Linked DNA regions of Oryzias latipes. Each later gene encodes a partner of the first gene's protein in a complex. Links are inferred from orthologs where the notes say so. Each region holds a gene or a part of one and is shown in the gene's direction. Other genes may lie near its edges.

Region 1 (9,891 bases):
CTGAGTCGGCCTCTCTTACATGAGCCTAATAAAATAAATGGTAAAATATAAAAAGTATACAAGTAAAATTCTAGATTAAACATATATGTATATGATAAAGTGTCATAAAATACAAGACTAAAAATTCTAGATTAAGCAAATAAAATGATAAAATGATGTGATAAAACATCATAAAACATAAAAAGATTGAAGAATAAATATTTATGATAAAATATAATAAAATATGATATTTGATATATGATATAAATGTATTCATCAGGCAAGTAACTTGAAGAAAATGATTTTAGCATCTAAGTTTCTGGTAGTCTTTCAGCATATTCAGTTTTAGCTGTCAGCATTCATGTTTGTTCTCTGTAGGAAAGGCAGTTTTTCTAGTTTATCCTCACATAACCTTTCTTGGCATCTCTGCAAACCTAAAAAGTGTCATACCAAAAACAAAAGATTCATGAATTGTGTTTTTATATAGAAAAGGCAAAGAACCTGAATCCTTTTGTAGCTTCCATGGAAGAAAGACCCCCCGCTCATTGGAGGTGACCTTACACATCACCGTGAGGATGACACGGCTCGGCAGCTGATTCACTGTCAACATGACAGCTCAAGTGCTTTGATGGTGTCAAAGGAGACAAAATGATTCAGCAATCTAAAACCAGGAATCGTGCTGTCTTTAGACAAAGGGCCTCACCATTGAGAATCTGAAAAAAATTCATGCTTGTTTGTTTAAACTTTGATAACTTTCTGAGTTTCTTAATGCTGAAGCTTTACTTCATTGTTGTTTGAACAAAAGAATGACTTCTATTTGAATGTGCAGATCTGGCCTTTTTTTTAAATTAATTTAACACAAAATACCTTTTGGATTCTTCAATGATGAATTTCAGAAAGAAAATCTGTATCTTTTTATTATCATATATTTTATTAAAATTCTGGTGTCTTTGTCTTGAGATTTTCATGGCGAGTTGAGTGGGGACCTTGCGGATCACTGACGGAGCAAGGCTGGAGGTCGTGGCGTGGCTGGAGGTCTTGATGTTGTGGTGGCTTGAGGGATCTTGACGAGAGTTGGACCCAGGCAGGCACTTGGTGGATGTTGCTTGTCCTAGAGACAGGAAGGGTAACTTGAGTAACGGGTTCAGAGACAACGAGAGTTTCATGAACCAAACGAGGAACACATGAGACCAGGTACTTCACCATAGTTGGCAACAAACTGGCGATGACTACTAGACTAGGCCATCTGATATACTGCGGGGTTGATGACGGAAGTGCCGGCAGCTGGGTCCAATCAGTGGAAACAAAGGAAGGGGGGAGAGGACTCCCGGGGTTACCATGACAGTTGGTATACTTTTTATGTTTTATGACTCAACAATGTTTTAATTTGCTTTTATGCTTTTTATTCTTTTACGTTTTATGATTGTGCAATGTTTTGTTTTCCCTGTCTACTGCACTTTGGGCCTCCTTGGCTGGTGGTGGACGGTGTTTTATAAATAAATAAATAAATGATGATGATGATGATGATGATATCTCGTCCATCCATTTACCGAAACAGCTGAAACCCCTTCGGGATCACAGGACTGCTATCCCAGCCACTGGTTGGCGAAGATGGGGAACACCCTGGACAGGTCACCAATGTTCACAGGGCCAGAAAGAAAAGGAAGAAGAAGATGAGCAGAAACTAGAAATGATCAAACTACAGGAAATTCTAAACCAAATAATCATGTTTAATCTGCACATTTTTAGGCTAAAAACTAAATTTCTAGTGATGCACTTTGCCCTAACCTAATTATGTAAAAATTGTTTTCTATTTAAAAGAAATTAAATATATTTATTCAGACTTACATGATGATTTTCCAGCTGGAAGGAAAAGCCTGGATTACAAAAGGTCCCAGGACAGAACGTGATCATTGAAACTCAGGGTCATTCTTTGGTTTCTGTCACCTAAACACAACAGAGGGGATGAAGGCTCAACAGCGCGCTGATGGATGCAGGTGCTGGTTTCCAATAAAGCAGACTAATGGGGCAAATCATTTTCCGTACTCGTTTCTTTCATCTTTCACCCGATGTCTCTGGGATTTGCCTCATCACTTGCAACATTTGTCCTTCCAGAAATGAATCACTTCAAGCAGAAACGTTGGGCTTGTCGTTCATAAGATTAGACTGAAGTAAAAATATAATGTTTGAAACTGAGAAATAAGGAGTTAAAGGAAATAATCTTTTTCTTTGGAAGACGCTGTTAGAGGTTGGATCAATAAAGTTTTATTGGGTCACCTGACATGACCCTGTTTAATCAACCCTATCTATTGAACAAGATGATAGGGTGAAAAATGAATTATTTCAAAATAATTTCTTGGTTTCATATTTGAGACAAAAATCTGCAATTAATTTTAAAAACTGTGAAATTATGTTACAGATTCAAACTCTTAATCCACACGTCACAAAGATTACTTGAAGTTAAAAGATGCTGGAATATGAAAAGAATAAGCAAAATCAAAAGATCTGTGTCGTCATTTACATCCGGATTCACGATTTGAATAAAGTAATACACATAAATGCCATTTTAAGCTTTAATTTTCTTTTATATGTCCTCCACCATCAGAAAAATACCACAAGAACACAGTTTTCATTGAAGTGGGTCTCTTTCATTGGCCGAACCATTGGTGCCTGTTTAAAGTGGATCCTCAGTGATTTTTTTTCTTTTTAAATTAAGGATGTAAATTTTAATGTTATCTTCTCAGCTCATATGAAACAGAGATTCTTTTATACCCTAACCCTTGTGCTATCTTAGGCACTCTAACACTGGGAGTGGGGTCATCTAGACCCCAAAATCTTTTTTCTTCAATGATTTGTGATCTTCACTGGTGTCCATGGATAACACGAAATCCTCTTCTCCTTTATCCACCTTTGTCATGGTAGGGAGAACACGTCAATGTGAGGATTGGGTCATCTGGACCCCATAGGATAGCACAAGGGTTAAAGGACATTTGAGGCAAGTTGGTTCTTAGGTGTTGGACTCAAGTCTGACCTGCTCAGAAAAGCCTGTGTTTGTTTTGGCATTGATTCCAGAGCAAGAACTTCTTCATATAGTGTCAAGAATTTTATAAAGCAATTAGCACTTTGTTTTTGCTGCCGTCATCTCTGCTGGTTTTCTCATCAGTGACCACGTTTTTAAACATATGCTTAATTGGTAATTGGTGGAGTCACCTGCTCTGAGAAATTTCTCAGCCAGAAACCGTGAGTAAATAGCAAAAAGTGGCGTGTAAAGAGTGTATTAGGACACTTCACACTCAAACACAGTTGACACAAGAACTGCAGTGTTGTGGAAATAACTGGGTTCTTCTATATCATTTAATTGCGTCTCACTGGAAGGTCAGACGGTGCTGGAAATACAGTCACTGAGCATCAAGTCCCTCTTTGAGGAAAGTGGCTAAACAAGCTGGTCAGGAATAGAGTGGGAGGAGCCAGAGCAGCATCAGAATGGGTTGAGCCTCACCTACAGTAAAACCTGCATCCCTGACAGGCAGAGCAGAACAACCTGACAACTTCTAGTTTGTTGAAGATGTAGATGACTGAAGAAACGGATTATGATCGAGATGTGGAAAGTAGTGGGAGCTGCTGTCTGACCTCCATATGGTTAAACTAACAACTTCCTGAGTTTGTGGGGACTTTTTTAAGCATTTTGAGACCATGGGGGGGAAACGGGGATTTGTGTTTTTTGTCTGCCTGTTGGTGGTCATGTCCAGAAGTCTGAGTTCAGCCAATGAGGCCCCGGTCCATGACACCGCACAGAGCCCCAGTAATGCAACATCCAGCACTGGACACGAAACACCGGTCATCACCACGCTACCCATTGTATCCTGGAAGTGGTCCCACGTCTCCCAGCCATACCTGGTGGCGCTGTGGATCCTGGTCTGTTGGCTTTGCAAACTGGGTGAGTCTCAATTTCTGATGGGTCTTGACCTTTAGGGATCCTGAAGGCATCAGCACCTCCTAAATGACAGATAATTTTTGTGGCTTTTTTGAAGCAGCAGGTAACTGATTTAGTGATTTATTTTATTTTTCTTATTTAAAAAAAGCTTGTACAATTGCAGAAACTATCCAAGCAGCAGACAATTCAGACTTTCATTAGAAAGGGTAGGAACTGAGAGTCTTTATCTGAAGTGGGAAGACGTATTTCCCTTCTGGTTTCATTTGAAGGCTTCAGAGGTTTTTACATGAGAACTGTTCTGCGCTGTCTCTCAAATTAAAAGAGAAAATGGCAGCAACCCAGATCAAAAGTTGAATTTTTTGCTTGCTAAAAATGTTCAAAATTTGATTGATTCATTCAGACGCACTATAAGGGTAGTCTTAAAAAATCTTTTGAGGACATCAGGGTTTGCTCTGAAGTGGTGTATGTTCTCCACTGACCTGTATTCACGCTGACATAGTCTGCAGATGGGAAAAAACTAGACGAGCAAAGAGTGTAGGATTACAGACTGAGCTAGAAAGCAAAAATCTTGGAGCTCAAGTGAATGCATATTAGATTTCGAGGAGTGTTCTCCACGATTATTTTCATATAAAGGTCATTCTAAATCCAGAGATTTTCTTACTAAAACTTTAATGAGATCTTTCTCCTCAAGCAACAGTTCAAGTGTTATCAAATTCTTAAAAATAAAAAAATGATATATATATATATATATATATATAATGTACTAAATTTTAGAATATATGTAATATGTTCCTAAAATATGTATGTCTTAAAACCCATTTAAAGAAATGATCTATTAACTTATTTTAAATGTCAAAAAAATTCTATGATAGAATATTTTTAAAGGTAAAACTTTGAACTAAAACTAGTTAGATTAATTTGTGACAAAGACTAAAAATATACTTTACAACAACAACCTTTTTTATTACTATAAAATAATTTCATAAAAGCATAACAGTTGTTATTTTTATAGTTTCGTGTGAGTGAACCGTACCTGCAGCAGACAACAAAGCAACATAATCATTTTATTCTGCATAACTCTGGTGAAACATTTAGAAATGTTACAAACAATCAAAGCTGAAAGCAGTGATGAGAAAAGTGACATCCACAAACCCGATTAAAACAACAATACATCTCAGGGCCAACATCTCTCCCACCCACCTGTCGGAACCGACCCAGCTTCAGGAGTTCAGCAAATTTGAAGGGTTTTGAAAGACTGCCTGAAACAAGGGGTTAAACTAATGCCCCAAATACAAACAAAAGCCAGGTCAGGTGATGGATTCAGATGATGCAGGTCAGAAAAGTCCAGTCAGGTGAACTTGCCTGTAAGGAATGGCCAAGCAAGAATATGGATCCTCCTTCCAGGAGTAAACAAAGTAGGTTAATGGGGTGACACTCAAAGGTCCCCCCCCCCCACACACACACACCTCCTGCTGGTCAGATCAGTCAGGTGGGGTTTGTGAAGAGTTGATGTTAAGAGGTAAACTTAGCAGGGAGTGATCAACGACTCATCCTCTGGTGTTACTGGGGCAGCTCCTTTAAGCTAAGAAGAGGTTCAGAAGAAAAGAACCCGAACCAGCTGTTGTTGGCATCTTAAACAGGGTGTGATGGATAAAGGAAAAAAAAAGCGGAACTCAAATCCAACTGAACAGCAGAAACGCTCTTCAAGAGAGTTTTTTGACTGGGATGTTCTCTTCCTGTCTTCTAAATCAGTGTTTTTCAATCTTTTTGGGTCAAGGTAAACTTTTTCCTTGATAAAAATCACATGGTGCACCACCAACTAAAAATACAACAAAATAAAAGGAAGCTCTGAAGGGTCTGGAATAAGAATTAAATAAACACAAAGAAAACGATGATCCGTTATGCTTAATTCTGCTCAATGTGAAACCTGGGCACGTTTGGATGAACATAGAGGCGATATCCCTGCAATGATAAATGTTTTCCCCCAAATTCTTTAAAATTAGACAATTTCTCATGCCACACCTGACGATCTATTGGTTGAAAAATCCAGTTCTAAATACTCGACAAAATTCACAGACTTTCCTTTTCAGATTTTGTTTTTGTCTTTGTTTTCCTGTGATTCTAAAAGAAAATTGAAAGTCCTGAGGACAGAATTTGCTTTGAACATGACTCTAAGGTCTGGAGGGCAAATATGAAGCTCCTCCCCTTTAGTCCTCAGTTTAGCCCGAAGATGGTGAAGCATTCTAAATGTTATGGGGTGACACCAACAAGGGACATGAAAACTTGGGTCACAGCCGAACATTAAAGGACAATCTGACCTCCCCGAGTATCAGCCCAGCTGCCAAACTTGTGCTGCTGTCTTTACAAAACACTGGCAGTGGCCATTCCTGTATACACAACAGGTGTAAATGAGTCACAGCCATGTGGACAATGTAAATGAAGGGGCGTGCACGACATTGACATTTACTGGCATAAATATGGGACCACGCTCCACGTGATACAGGTGTTCCGCTCGGTTCCTTCTTCAGTCGTCCTGCAGAACCCCGGTCCGGGTCAGGGCAGCTTCATTTGGATGAGAATCTAGAATCGGCTAGGTAGCCTGGTTGGTAAGGTAGAGGGCTGTCATGCAGGAATCCAGGGTTCGATTAAATTGAATAAATAATGGTACTGGAGGCAATTACCATATCAATGGTGAGCAATTAACATCACCCAGTGGGGGCCCTTGGGCAAGACCCTTAATGCTACTGCCTCCCAAGCACGGTTCAGCTGCAGCTCACCGCTGCCCCAGGGGATGGATCAAATGCGGAGAAGAATTTCCGATTGTGGGATGAATAAAGTATCAATATTATTATTATTATTAATAATCTGACAGGTCACTAGAAAAAGTTGCAATTCTGTTTTCTGTTCAAATTCAAACTATTTTACTATTTTTAGAGGTGTGGAAATATGTAAAAATAAAAAAAATTGACATACCGGTATGTTTAAAGAAATCCAAAACCAAATTCTTTTTATTCTCATTGATGACCTGAAATACCTGGATTTTTACAGCAATTGACACTTTGAGCCACTAGATGTCATCGTTTGAGCCGTTCAGTGAACCTGCAGGGTCTGGTTTGAATTATGAAATATTTTGTAGTGTAATAAGTAAACCTTGATGTTCTGTAAAAACTTCCTGATGCAGCAGTTTCCCACTAAAGTGCATTCAAACAAATAATCTAAAGATTGATTTAGAAGTGAAAAGCAAACATTAAAATTACTATTAATAAAATTGCTACTTGTGCAGATAAGGTTGGGAACATTTATTTCAGCTTAAGAGTAAAAACAAGATTTTAGTGCCATTCTGGGATGAATCAGAAACCTTTTTAGGCGTTTTAAAGACACACACTGGTCTGCATTCATAGTTGACTTCATCTTCTATTGAGTGAATTACTATTTAGGCTGTCATTTACTTAAGTTATTGTGAACATTTAGAACTCTCATCCAGAATCGGTCTGGGTAGACCTGAAGGAAGAAGTTTGAACGCGATATTGTAGCTAAGAAGAACAGGAAATATCAAATTCTGCCATAATTGGGGGGGAAAACAAAACCTGCAAGCTTCAGATTAGACAAAGAGGAGTTGTCATCCAAAGAAAAGTGAAGGAAGATTTATTTTTAAGTTTGAAAAAAAATATCTTTATGGGTCAAATTATTTAAAAAAATATAAATATTTTAAGAACTATAGCAGAAAATTTGAATTCTGGATCAGAATAGGAGTAAAGCTTGGAAAAAAAGGTACATACATGAACTTTTCCTTTTAACTAACTAAGAAAGAAACAAGATTTCATTTTTAGTTTTTCCCGCAAACATATCTTTGATGACTGTTGTGAAGACAAAATAAAAAGTAATAAATAAAATTAGCTGTTATCTGCAGATTTGTAGTTTAATGACTTGCAGTGACTTTGATCCATATTATTCCAAATGGAATTGAAACAAAGAATATTCTGAAAATAAAGATTGTTGTATTTAAAAAAAATACTTTAATAAAACCTTTTAATGGAAAGCAGATTTAACACTGACTTTTTTTTTCTGATTTACCGTATTTGTTGACAATTGAGTTATAAATTACACACTTTTTATTAGTTTAAAAAACAAAGACCAGGTTAAAAATAACAGTCTGAACCTCCACCCAATAAAATGAAATCTGAGCACTAACATTCAGAAACTGTCCTTTTACCATCCTGAACTGAGAGATGCCTCTTTGTGGTATTTTACACAAAGGAATGTCAGATCCTGCAAGGATGCCAAAGAAAATGACGAAAGATTAATAAAAGAAAGTCCTTCAGGGAATTTAATTTAAGTATTCTTCTCTTTTCACAAAGATCTCCTTTATTCTGGTTCTGGCAGAAGGAAATAAAGTTAAAAAAATATCAAAGGTTCCGGATACCTCTAGGAACAAAAATTGATTTACAAGGCTAATGACTTAGTATAAGATAAGCATAACCTCATTTCCTTAATCATTTGACCTAAAGCAAATTTGAGGTAAAAAAAAAAAACTCAGGTAAAAGCTAAGGTGTGAACCTACTGGTTCCCATCTATTTTGTCGTTTGTGCCTGAAGTCACAGATGACACGTTTCACTGAGCACAGTTTCATTTTTCTGATCTGCGTACTAACAAGAACAGCAGCTCTGCTGAACCTCTTTGTTCACAGAGAAGTCGACCTCCAGCACAGAGCTGCTGACGTCATCAAGCAACTCACACCTTCTGAGCGGGATTCATTAGGTCAACCGTTATGAGAATGGTTGATTTACAGTTTCAGAAGGACGTGAACTTTGTCAGGCTCAGGGTCGGCTCACTTTCCAGCTTTATTAGAGCACACATGAGCTGATACTCCAACCACTGACAGATTAAAGTTTCTGCATGGGATCCAGTTATCAGACCATGATTGATCGGTTTCCTGGTTTGTAGAGGAAATCAATCAAAATCTGAATCATTTAAAGCTGAGACACCAGATCAAATAAGGACATGAAGTTAACCTGATGCGTTCTTTTTTAATTTATGGCTGGACCTTCATGAAGTGAGAGAAAAATATCTTCAATTCAGCCTCTCACAGACAGAAGTCCTGATCTTCTGCAAATCTTCTTACAGCACAGCTTCACCATCAACGTCGGATATTCTTGAATCATCTAACAACTCCTAAAGATATGTTGGTTCATCACCAACGGCAAGTTTAGCAACTGATCCTGAAGATGATCATGTCCCAACACGTTACACATCTCAGCTCTGCATGGCTTTCGGTGGTTCCACTCTCTGAAGTGGTGCGTGTTCTCCACTGACCTGTTTTCACGCTGACACAGTCTGCACATGGGGAATAACTAGACGAGCAAAAAAAGTAGGATTACAGACTGAGCTCTCCTCTCAGCGAGTTCATATTAGATTTTGAATGTGTTCTTCACAATTATTTTCATGTAAAGGTCCTTTTAAATTCAGAGATTTTCTTACTCAATATTAAATGAGACCTTTTTCCTCAAACAACAGGTCAGGTTTTCTAAAATTCTTAAAAGATATCTATTTTATATCCACTATATTTTACATCTATACATATATATGATATGTTTATATGTATATAAAAATACTTTCTCAAAATATTTATGTCTTATAGAGCATTTGGAGAAATAATTTATTGATTTTAAATGTACTAAAAATTCTATGAACATAAGTGTTTTTTCAGAATATTTTTAAAGATAAAACTTTGAACAAAAACTCTTCTCTTATTTACTTACATACAGGTCTTCTGAGCATTACCTTTGAGGGAATTCCCTCATCCAGATGTAGAGCACATGGTCTCTGCAGCAGAGAAACTCCAGCATGGAGGGAATGAAGCTTTGCAGCCTGGCTGCTCCAAAGCAGCATTAAGAAAATGATAAAACTGAGACATTCTGAAGCTTTTTCATAACCCTAACAACAGTATCTAATCTTCAACTTTCCTTGGTTGAGACAGT
Region 2 (9,827 bases), on another chromosome or scaffold:
ATTAAAGTTTAATTGCATTCTGATTTGACGTGAGTGGCCAACACGGAGGAATTAGGGTGTAACACCCCACAGCAGAGCTGGACTGCTACTGAAAAACCATCTGATGAAGGTCAAAGTAAGAGTTGTAAGCATGAACGGACAGTGGGATGGAGAGGGTTAACCTAGAGCTACCTTCAGTAGAGCCCAGGCTTCATCTGAAGGATCTGCTTCATGTTTAAATAAAGTTTGATTTCCAGCCTTAGGCAGAAATCAGTTTCTTACTGAACCCAGAAGGTGAGGGATAAATGTCCGTATGCGGGTTAGAAGTTGGATTCACGCTGTCGTCCCTCCTCCTCCCTGCAGTCTCCCACAGTCAGATCACTCGACTCTACAGCCGCTTCACCAGCCTGGACAAAGGGGAGAATGGCACGCTCAGGTAAACTACAACCCAAACACCCTGAAAAGCAGCTTAGACATTGGCGGGATGGCTGTGCATCAGCGGTTCGGCTTAACCTGTGGCTTCAAACCTCCGGGGCGGGCGTCCTGCTTCATTTCACACACGGCCGCTCAGTTTCTTATTGGGGGGGGGGTGCCTGATCCAGGAAAGTAGCTGCAGGTGGAGCAGGGATTTGTGGGAAAGGGCAGGAATGGACTTTGACTCAATGAAATGCTTCTCCAGGAAGTCAAAACGAGGTCAGACGTTCCACGTTCTGAGTGTTGGAACATTGTTCTGTTTGGTTCTCAGCCTGACGTCTTTGTGGTCAGGCTCAGGCCGCGTGACAGAACGATAAACCATAGATGATAATTAAGCAACAAGCAGCTGAGTTGGCTGCGAGGAGACCGGGTCAGACCGGGTCAGACCGGGTCGGCTGCAGGCCACAGGTCAGCGATTCAAGGACAGAACAAGCAAACATTTCATGGAACTCTGACTGTCCTAAGAAGCTGTTGACACATCACAAGCGTTGCTGCAGTTCTTCTCATCTGTGGTCTTCAGGCCGTGTTGATGCAACAGAATGAACAGAAACATCAAAGAACTCTGAACAACCAGGACTGTGGGTCGGTACCGACGTGGAGATCCGGTTCACGGATCAGACTAGGATATTTACTGTTTATTATATCCTCTTTGACTCGTTCCCACATGTGTCTTTTACTGGATGTATGAAATGAAACTAATAATTAGCATCATCTATACCTTTTTTATTTAGAACAGGGGACCGAAATCAACAGAACACAAAGATTTAGAAAGAAATGGTTTCAGCAAAAGATTCTCCGTCATTTTCCTGCTTCACTTCAGCAGGAGACCAAACCTAAACATCGCCGTCGTTTCGGATCTTTTAACAACAAATCCTGAAAATGTTCTCCACAGTTTTCCTGCTGTCTGCAGCTCCCGTAGATCCACGAGAAGATAAAACTAGAAAAAACTCTCTGTCCTTTTAGAAAATAAAAACACTTTAGAACATGTAACAGACGTTTTCGGTTCGGCTTCTCCATCACGCTAGCAGACCGTCACATGACGTGACACGAGTCACGCCGTTGATCCTGAGATCCTTATTAAAATATTTTTAATTAAAAAGTCTTTATTTTTTTACATTAAAATGATCCACTTTTTCTTTCTTTCCAGAACTTGTTTCACTAAACCGAACTTCAAATAAAAACACTCCGTAGTTTTACTTTGACAATAACAACCTTCACAAACACTTTATTTTGAAAATGTATATTTACTTCCTGTTTGTTTACATTATTCTGCAACTATAGAGTGATAATTACATTTTCTGAAGTGTATTTTTTTACCGTGCTTTCCAATATTTCTAAAGATCATGAATCCCTGATCTCAAACATCACAAATATTTGTTTTTGTCTGGAATAGACGGCGAGTATCCGAGTATTCGAATACTCAAAAGTCCTCCCCATAAGTGACTTTGGAAGTGAAAGAATAAAAATCTCTTTATTCCACTATAAAAGTTTTAACTCTGAGGAGCTGAACTTTAATTTGAGACTAAAGTGTCACGCCTGATTTGAGAGGCTTGTTAAGTTCAGTTTTACAGTAACTTCATCTTAAAAACCTCCTCTGAAGTGCGTGTGATGTCATTTCCTGCCGTCTTTCACGGTGACCTTGCTCTGACGTCTGCAGCCGAGAGGATTTCCAGAGGATCCCGGAGCTGGCCATCAACCCTCTGGGAGACCGAATCATCAACGCCTTCTTCCCCGACGGGTGAGTCTGGACTTTGTGACGATGGCGGGCATACTTTAAGAAAATTAGGCTTTAAATTGAATTTTTTCGTCTCTCTTTTTTCAAATCTGTGTGAATCCATGCAACGGAAAATAAATGCAGTTTGAAAAAGATCGTATTTGTGACTTGGCAAATATGCTGCTTCTAGCTCCGCCCCTTTTTGATCCTCCACCTGCAGACCAACAGATCCATGAACGTCTTTGTTTTCCACGTCTGAGCTGGAATCTGGATCAGAACTGGACGACTGGATAGCTCTGACATTGCTGCCATTTTTGTTGCATGGCTAATGTTAGCTTGGGGGGGGGGGGGGTGAGGGCTGTAAGCTAGAGGGAGAGAGTGTAAACATAAGGATGTCGGGAAATAGACCAGCCCAACTCGGAGGTGAATTTCTAATGAACTCCCGTCGCTCTGCAGAAACTACGTCCTAGAAAAGGTTTTTCTCATTAAAACACTTTAAAGATCCGTCAAAGTGATGGCAGTGGGACTTCAAAGCTAAAAAAAGAGCAGATGTGGTCGGGTTCCATGATTTGTGTGGGTTTTAACTGCAGCCCGGGTTTGTGTCGGCTTTAGGTTTCTGTTTTCTGGCTCAGACTGGTTTGTTTTTGTCCTGGTTTGTGCCTCGGTGTCGGGTTTCCCGCCCCGTTTCTGAGCTGAACCGACGGGTTTTTCAGAGAGGATCAGGTGAACTTCAGAGGCTTCATGCGGACCCTGGCTCACTTCCGGCCGGTCGAGGACAACGAGAAGAACAAGAACCTGTCCAACACGGAGCCGCTCAACAGCCGCACAAACAAACTGCACTGTGAGTCCGCCCCTCCCTCACAGACGCCCACCCCCTGGACCTTCACCGCATTGATGTGCTGATGCTTTTCTCCACAGTTGCCTTCCAGCTGTACGACCTGGACCGGGATGACAAAATCTCTCGGGACGAGTTGCTGCAGGTGGGAGCCGCTTTAGCCCACGGAGACACCCGGGTTTGTTACGTAGGGGGGGGGGGGGGGGGGGGGGGGGGGGGGCGGTTTGGGTTAAATGTGCAGCTCCAGGCGCAGCTGGCTGGACCGGCCCTGTTGTGTAACGTTTGCTCTGCAGACTTTGGCCTCGTGCAGATAATGCCGCCGTCCTCCGGTCCGTCTGGCTCCTCCCCGGTGGTGACCTGTAATTGCTGTGAGCTCGCGGTTACGTGACTCGCACAAATACCTTGTTTTGATCAAAACAGCAGAGCGTCACCTGATTCTGGTTGTTTGTGAGCCGTTCCACTAAACGCTCTGTTATTTAGAATCATTCCAGCAGAAAAGCTGCAAATGAGTGTTTCTGCAGAACACATCATCAGCGCTTGTTTGGATCACAGCGGCCGTGTCCTCGCGGTCGTCCTCAGCCGTTTGCTGTCTCCAGGTGCTGCGGATGATGGTGGGCGTGAACATCTCAGACGAGCAGCTGGGCAGCATCGCCGACAGGACCATCCAGGAGGCGGACACCAACGGAGACGGATGCATCTCCTTCACCGAGTTCATCAAGGTTTGCAGCTCCGCCCACATTCCAGGAACGTGAACACGATGGAGAATCAGGGCCACCAGGAAACAGGAAAATGGGAATAAAGTCATTAAAAAAAGTAACAATTCTGTGAGATGGAAATTGTACATTTATATTTCAAAACGTTGTAATTTTACAAAGAAAAAGTCTTGTTTTAACAAAAAAATTACAGAAATGAGGAACGTCGAAAGATCAGGAAAAGCCAAAATTCTACGGGAATAAAATTATACATTTAAGTTGCAATTTTACAAGACAAAAAAACAAAGTTGTACATTTATTTTAAAAAGTTAAGGCAGATTCTGTACAATTCTTGTGCAGTGAAGCTTTAAAGCAAAATGAAACATTTTAATTCTGAAAAAACGTGAATTTTCTTTGCCGAGTTATATTTTTGAAGCATAAATTTATTATTTCATTCTTGTAATTAACATTTTTCTCATAACTGTATGACTTTATTCTCATATTTGTGTGTTGTGGTGCCTCTCATAGTCCATCGTACATAAATTTGTGGAGGTTTTCAAAAATATATTTGCATTTGTAGCTTTAGATCCTGATCTCCCTTCTAAAATTCTCCTCTGTTTTTCAGTGCCGTTTAAACACAAAGGTAATGTCTAACGTAATGTTAATTTTTAACAGATAATCAGAATAAACTTGGCCTGAAACTGCAACCTGCCTCTCCCTGTGAAAACAACCTGCAGTTCATCGAGTGACCACCAGGCGGCTCGTTAAACTTTCTCTACAGTTTAACAGGTCAAATGTCAGCAGGTGGCATCAAACTTAAAGTCGACATTTTTAAAACAGCTAAAGTAAAAATCCCAGTGAATTCTGCAGCTCTTTTCGTCCCATATTAGTTTGAGCTAAAATGCTAACGTTAGATTTGGACAAACATGAGGGGGAGTGTTTTATTAAATCTACCAGAACGGGCCGCCAACACCGTGACCTTTTTGTTTCCGTGAGGTGTTGACACAAACAATGTGTCTGGATGTCGTCTGTGTTTGGTGAGTTCTTGTCCTTCTGGTTGAGGACGATCTGGGTCAGGGTTCCCCAAATCCAGGCCTACGTGTTTTCCAACCAACCTGCCATTAAAGCTCCTTATTGGCTAAACACACCTGATCCAGGTAATCAGCAGCAAATCAGGCAGGGCCCTCATGACCTGGATTTGGGGACCCCTGGTCTGGGGGATTCCTTCCAGCATCGGTCCTGCAGGTCTCACATCCTTGTTTTTTTTTGTTTCCTCAGGTCTTGGAGAAAGTGGACGTGGAGCAGAAGATGAGCATCCGGTTCCTGCACTAACTCTTTCTTTTGTTTTACTTCTTAAAATGAGTCCAAACTTTTTTTTTCCTCCATTGATGCCAGAAAAATGACTTCATCCAGCGCCTCAGATGGCTGCCACTGCTCCCCCATTACCGCAGTAAATCTCCCGCCTTTGCACTGCTTCGCTAACGTAGGGAAACGTGTCAGTGTGTTTCCCACCATGCAGCATCATAGAAACAGCTTTTCAGTGGGCATGAGATCAAGAACGTCTTCACCTTTCAGACGCAGTTCACTCCTGCTGCTCACGTTTCACACGCTTCTGTATTTGTATGCAGCAGTTCAGACAGCAGCACCATTTCCAAATCAAAGCCAGCCGCTGGAGTGTCTTTGATTCTGTAAAATGTCGGCTCTAGTTTGTTCTCATGTAAAACAATAAGTGATTTATTCCGGTTGTTGTTGGTTAACCAAAGCCGAACCCGCTGACGTCAGTATGAGCATAGGAGTCTTGAATTCACGCCTGACAGCCGCTGGACTTCATGTCAGAAGGATTTAACGCGTTTTCCCGCTGTGTAACTGCTGGATCTGATGCATAAAACGGTTTTCCTTTTTCCTGTTTCAAGTGCAAATGAGGAAAAAACACTATTTTATTTATTTCCCATCTTATCTGCTCCAGATCTGCTTTGTGTCACGTGGCATTCGAACTTTAAATACGATGTAATCTATAATGTCAGCCAAATCCTCTGGAGGATGAAAGCGTTATTAAACCAAAATCAGCTGTTATTTGTATTGTATGTTGATATTAAAGTGATTTCTGAATCAATTTGAATAAACAAGGTGCCATTCATCTGGTTGTGTTGTTTTTAACAATATTTCATGTGCACAAATATGTAGAAAAGATGCGTAATCTGTTGGTTAAATCGAAGCTAAACAATGAACTAAAATTATAAAGGTTATTATTTTAGCATAATTGTGCTGCAATAACTCAAGAGGACGGATGGGAGGAAGTTGATTTACTTCCGGGGCGGGGCTTACATTTGATGGACAGCTTCCCGCTCCAATCCCAGGGTCCTCCTGTTGGCTCGTAGCCGCGGAGCAAAGATGGCGTAGAGCGGAGGGAGCGGGACCTCCTTCTCCCCCCACCCCCCCGTCTTTGGCGTGAACTTGGGGGAGAGAAGGAGGTTCAGTGAGTTTTATTTTTTATTTTTTTACGGAGGTTCCTCGGCGGCGCAGCTCTGCCTCCGAATAATCCCGTCAACCCCGGTTTCCTCCCACCCCGGCCTGGCGCCACAGAGGAGGCAGCCCGGCTTTGTTTACCCCCGCGAGAGGCTCGGAGCTCGGACCAAACGTCTGCGTCTCATCGGATCATCGACTCATCCAAGGTCAGAGGCTCGTGCTTCCCGCCTTTCACTCGACCTTAACCCGCCTTTCCCCGCAGCTTCGCCGTTTCTGCCCATTGGGTCTGTTTTTGTAGCCCATTTTTGAACACTTTACCGTCTTTTATGTCTAAATTATACTTTAATTATGTTTTTTTTGTATAAAAGGTGATGCTGAAATAGCAAAAATACAAATAATTAAGCTTTTGCAGTCTATTCAAATGGAATCAATGTAGAAACGCTTGAGCTTTTAAAAGTAAAAAATGCGGATAATTTAATTATTACATTTATGATTTTAAGATCCACTCCTATAAATATCGTATTATTTGTGTTTGAAAATGTTTTTGTAGAATTTTTTTGATGCAAGTTATTTATATCGCTGTTTGAAGCTCAAAAATGGCAGTTCTTAGTATTTTCTTTATTTCGATTGTTGTGAATCAGGAGCAGACGGAAAAAATGCTGTTTAAACATATATTTGTGACGTAGAAAATACGGTGGGCGGGGCCACAACCTCCCTCCTCGGCTCCTTTTTAATCCCCCTGCAGACAAAATGTTTTTTTTGTTTTCCTCGTCTGAACTGGAATCTGGATCAGATCAGATAGGTCTGGATCTCCATCGTTGTTGCGGTGCTAATGTTAGCTTGAGGGGCTGTAAGCTAGCAGTGTAAAGGGAAGGATGTCGGGAAGCAGGGGCAGGCTTACCCCTCCCACACCTCAGAGGTGAATTTCTAATGAACTCCTGCTGCTCTGCAGAAACTTTGTCCAAGAACATATTGCCTAAAAAAGGCATCATCTTAATGAGAAAAAAAGAAAATAGATCAAAAGATGGTCGGAGTGGGACTTAAAGGCATAGGAAAAATAAAACATTTGTCAAAAGAGGATCAGGTTTTCATTAAAATGTTTGAGTGATAATTTCTTCTTCTGAGGTGTTTTTAGTTGAACTGAACTCCTGCTTTTGAACCATAAACTCCAGGCGGCGGAGAGGTGAAGCTGAACCGGAGACATGTGTGCCTTCAGAACAGACCCAGCACCACCGCCGTGTCCTCCACCCCTCACAGAGGAGCCCACAGGACCCCAGCAGCTGTCTGGATGACCTCCTCCTCTACGTGGGCTCTCCTCGCCACTGGTGATGGCTCCTCCACGCCATCGCCTCTCGTTCGGACCCAGGTCTTCAGCCCCATCCGCAAAGAGCGGCGGTAAATGTTAGGAGATGGCGTGAGATCAGGCTAAAGATTCAACACACATTCACCGTTTCTCTTTTGTTTTGTTGCCTTTTTCTTATAAAATGAAAAAGGAAACCCATCAGATCCAAGCAGTCGGACGGGAAGCTCCACATCCGTTCCTTCTTATTTTTGTAAATAAAGTTTAGACACGAGAAACTGTAGCAAAGATGGAGTTCTGTGATGCGATCGAGTCACTGCTTCTTCCTTTCCTTTGTGGGTTTGTGCTACCTCACAGCCACAGCCGGTCCAGCAGCATCCAGGAAGTCCGGCGGAGCTTCGATTTGATCAAGTTCAGAGAAGATCCGCCACTTTCCTCATCATTGTCTGCATGCGTAGAGCCGGATTAGGCGGCAGCATCCATCGTCTCTGATGCAGTTTACAGTCTTTCCCTCCAAACACACGACGTCCTGAGCGCGCTGAGGGGGCCAGTCTGCCCGTTTTCATTTCTTTAGGACTGACGGTCATCAATCATAAGAAATAAAACAAAAGAAGAAAATCTCTCTTTACCGGGATCTGTGCAATATTTGATCTAAACTGTCATGTTGACCAACATGTATATTGTATAAACAAGTGACAAGTTGTTTGAAAGCAACAAAATCACCAATGTCTTCCATTAAGAGATGTATAGACTCATGTGCATTAGCTTCTTTAGCAGTGGTGCCAATATTTATCGTAGCCATGCATGACCAGTAGTGACGCTTGCTTCATGAAGAGTCTTAGCCCAATCGGGTTTCTGAGCAAACGCGAGTCCGAGAAAACAAAGCAGCTGCAGGTCGACTGCAGTGCAGCGTCTCTCCGCCCGTATCTTTCAGGACGTTTGACCAAATCTGGCTTAAAGAAATCCATGAGAAGCTGTTGGTCCGATTGGGGCCAGAGCTTTCTGACTGAGATGACTGCTTTGTACATACGACCTCGTGGTTCTAGGACTGATTTTAGTCCTTATAATTGTATTTTATTAGAGTTTTAGAAGCAATAACCTCCAATAATGCATGATTTAGCGCCAGGCTCTTTGTATTTACAGGATTGTGTAAGATCCCATCAAGAACTCCCTTATTTTTAACGCGTCGTCCCGATAAATCTCCCGTTTCTTTACCCGTCTCGTTGCTTTAAGTGTTTGGGCTTTAAACGAACGCGTCCATGAAGCGCCAGGAACACGAAGATGCTTTAACCTTGACGTTTTGTAGCATGTTGGAGCCCGTCCCTCCAGCCAAGCAGACTTTCAGAACCCGTGCAGGACTCTTTTGTCCCGGAGCGGTCTCACACCGCCGCCGCCTAACGACTCCGTCCCAGAGACTGGGTCACGCCGTTTCTGGAACTCCTAGTTTAACGCCCACGCAGGCGTCTTGTCACATGACTATATGGGTTTAAGAATATGCATGATTAGCAGATTAATGAATGATTTGTATTGCATGCAATAAACCAACTCTGTAATGTGAATGTTAGGATAAGGCGATGCTCAGACCTGCTGTCCCGTGGACTCACACTGACGTAGCTGCAGCCCGTGGTCACGCGCCGCTGGTCACGATGAGGGGGGGACTCACCAAAAAGTAGAAGCACAGATCAAGCTGTGACCAGGATGTGGTTTTGGTGATCAAGTGTGGAAACTATGCACTCCAGAGGGAGGAAGTGGGCATGCTTGTTATGTGTGAGCCTCTTGTCTGGTTTTGTATTCACTCTAAATATGAGAATAAAAAAAAGAAACGGACATTCAGCAATAAAATGCAGCATGGTGCCAACTGGACTGGTGTGTGTCGCTGTTCTTTTCACTTCTATCTCCTGTAGTGAAGGACGTCCCGTTGGTTAACGTCCCACTCCGGTCACCTGATCATAATAACGATGCTGTTTTTAGCCACAATAGATATCAATCGTTTTCTTGGATGCAGAGCAGCAGGAGTTCATTAGAAGTTTGCCCCTTGGGTTTTGGCAGGACTGTTGGTGTGGAACAACCCCGCCCCTCTTCCCTTTCTCCATTGCATAGGAGCTTAGGACCCGCCTAGAATATTTTCTACGTCTTTTACAGCCATTTAGCATCTGCTCCTGATTCTCAATTATTTGAATAAATGCTCATACATGCAGTTTCCCCCCTATTTTAATGTTCTTTATCTCCATTGTGAGAAAAATGCTACAAGAACATTTTAAAAACACAATTTTGGTCGGAGTGGGTCTTTAACCCTTGTGTTATCCTATGCACTTTAACGTTGGGAGTGCTAGACAGTGCTCTGGACCTTTTTTCTTCAATGATTTG

The links.
Region 2: the proteins of slc9a3 (region 1) and chp1 are in contact, whole or in part, in a cryo-EM structure (PDB 7X2U), measured with the Homo sapiens proteins. The link is inferred for Oryzias latipes from reciprocal best matches to the Homo sapiens genes SLC9A3 and CHP1. Residues at the interface, in NP_004165.2 of Homo sapiens: Tyr396, Arg397, Met398, Gln400, Glu402, Arg474, Leu475, Asn476, Glu477, Leu479, His480, Gly481, Arg482, Ala483, Phe484, Asp485, His486, Ile487, Leu488, Ser489, Ala490, Ile491, Glu492, Asp493, Ile494, Ser495, Gly496, Gln497, Asn501, Arg504; in NP_009167.1 of Homo sapiens: Arg30, Leu31, Arg34, Leu38, Lys40, Glu49, Phe51, Gln52, Arg53, Ile54, Glu56, Leu57, Ala58, Ile59, Asn60, Pro61, Leu62, Asp64, Ile66, Phe70, Phe83, Leu87, Phe90, Leu115, Phe117, Ala118, Leu121, Tyr122, Leu135, Leu139.

The regions. Positions count from the first base shown.
Region 1 is NC_019869.2:19,311,123-19,321,013, reverse strand, and holds the start of slc9a3 (sodium/hydrogen exchanger 3), read left to right. Parts: upstream 1-3,505; 5' UTR 3,506-3,672; coding exon 3,673-3,916; intron 3,917-9,891. UniProt on the Homo sapiens protein: Plasma membrane Na(+)/H(+) antiporter. Exchanges intracellular H(+) ions for extracellular Na(+) in 1:1 stoichiometry, playing a key role in salt and fluid absorption and pH homeostasis.
Region 2 is NC_019880.2:1,741,675-1,751,501, forward strand, and holds the end of chp1 (calcineurin B homologous protein 1), read left to right. Parts: intron 1-342; coding exon 343-415; intron 416-2,110; coding exon 2,111-2,191; intron 2,192-2,880; coding exon 2,881-3,008; intron 3,009-3,085; coding exon 3,086-3,147; intron 3,148-3,598; coding exon 3,599-3,721; intron 3,722-4,972; coding exon 4,973-5,026; 3' UTR 5,027-5,831; downstream 5,832-9,827. UniProt on the Homo sapiens protein: Calcium-binding protein involved in different processes such as regulation of vesicular trafficking, plasma membrane Na(+)/H(+) exchanger and gene transcription. Involved in the constitutive exocytic membrane traffic.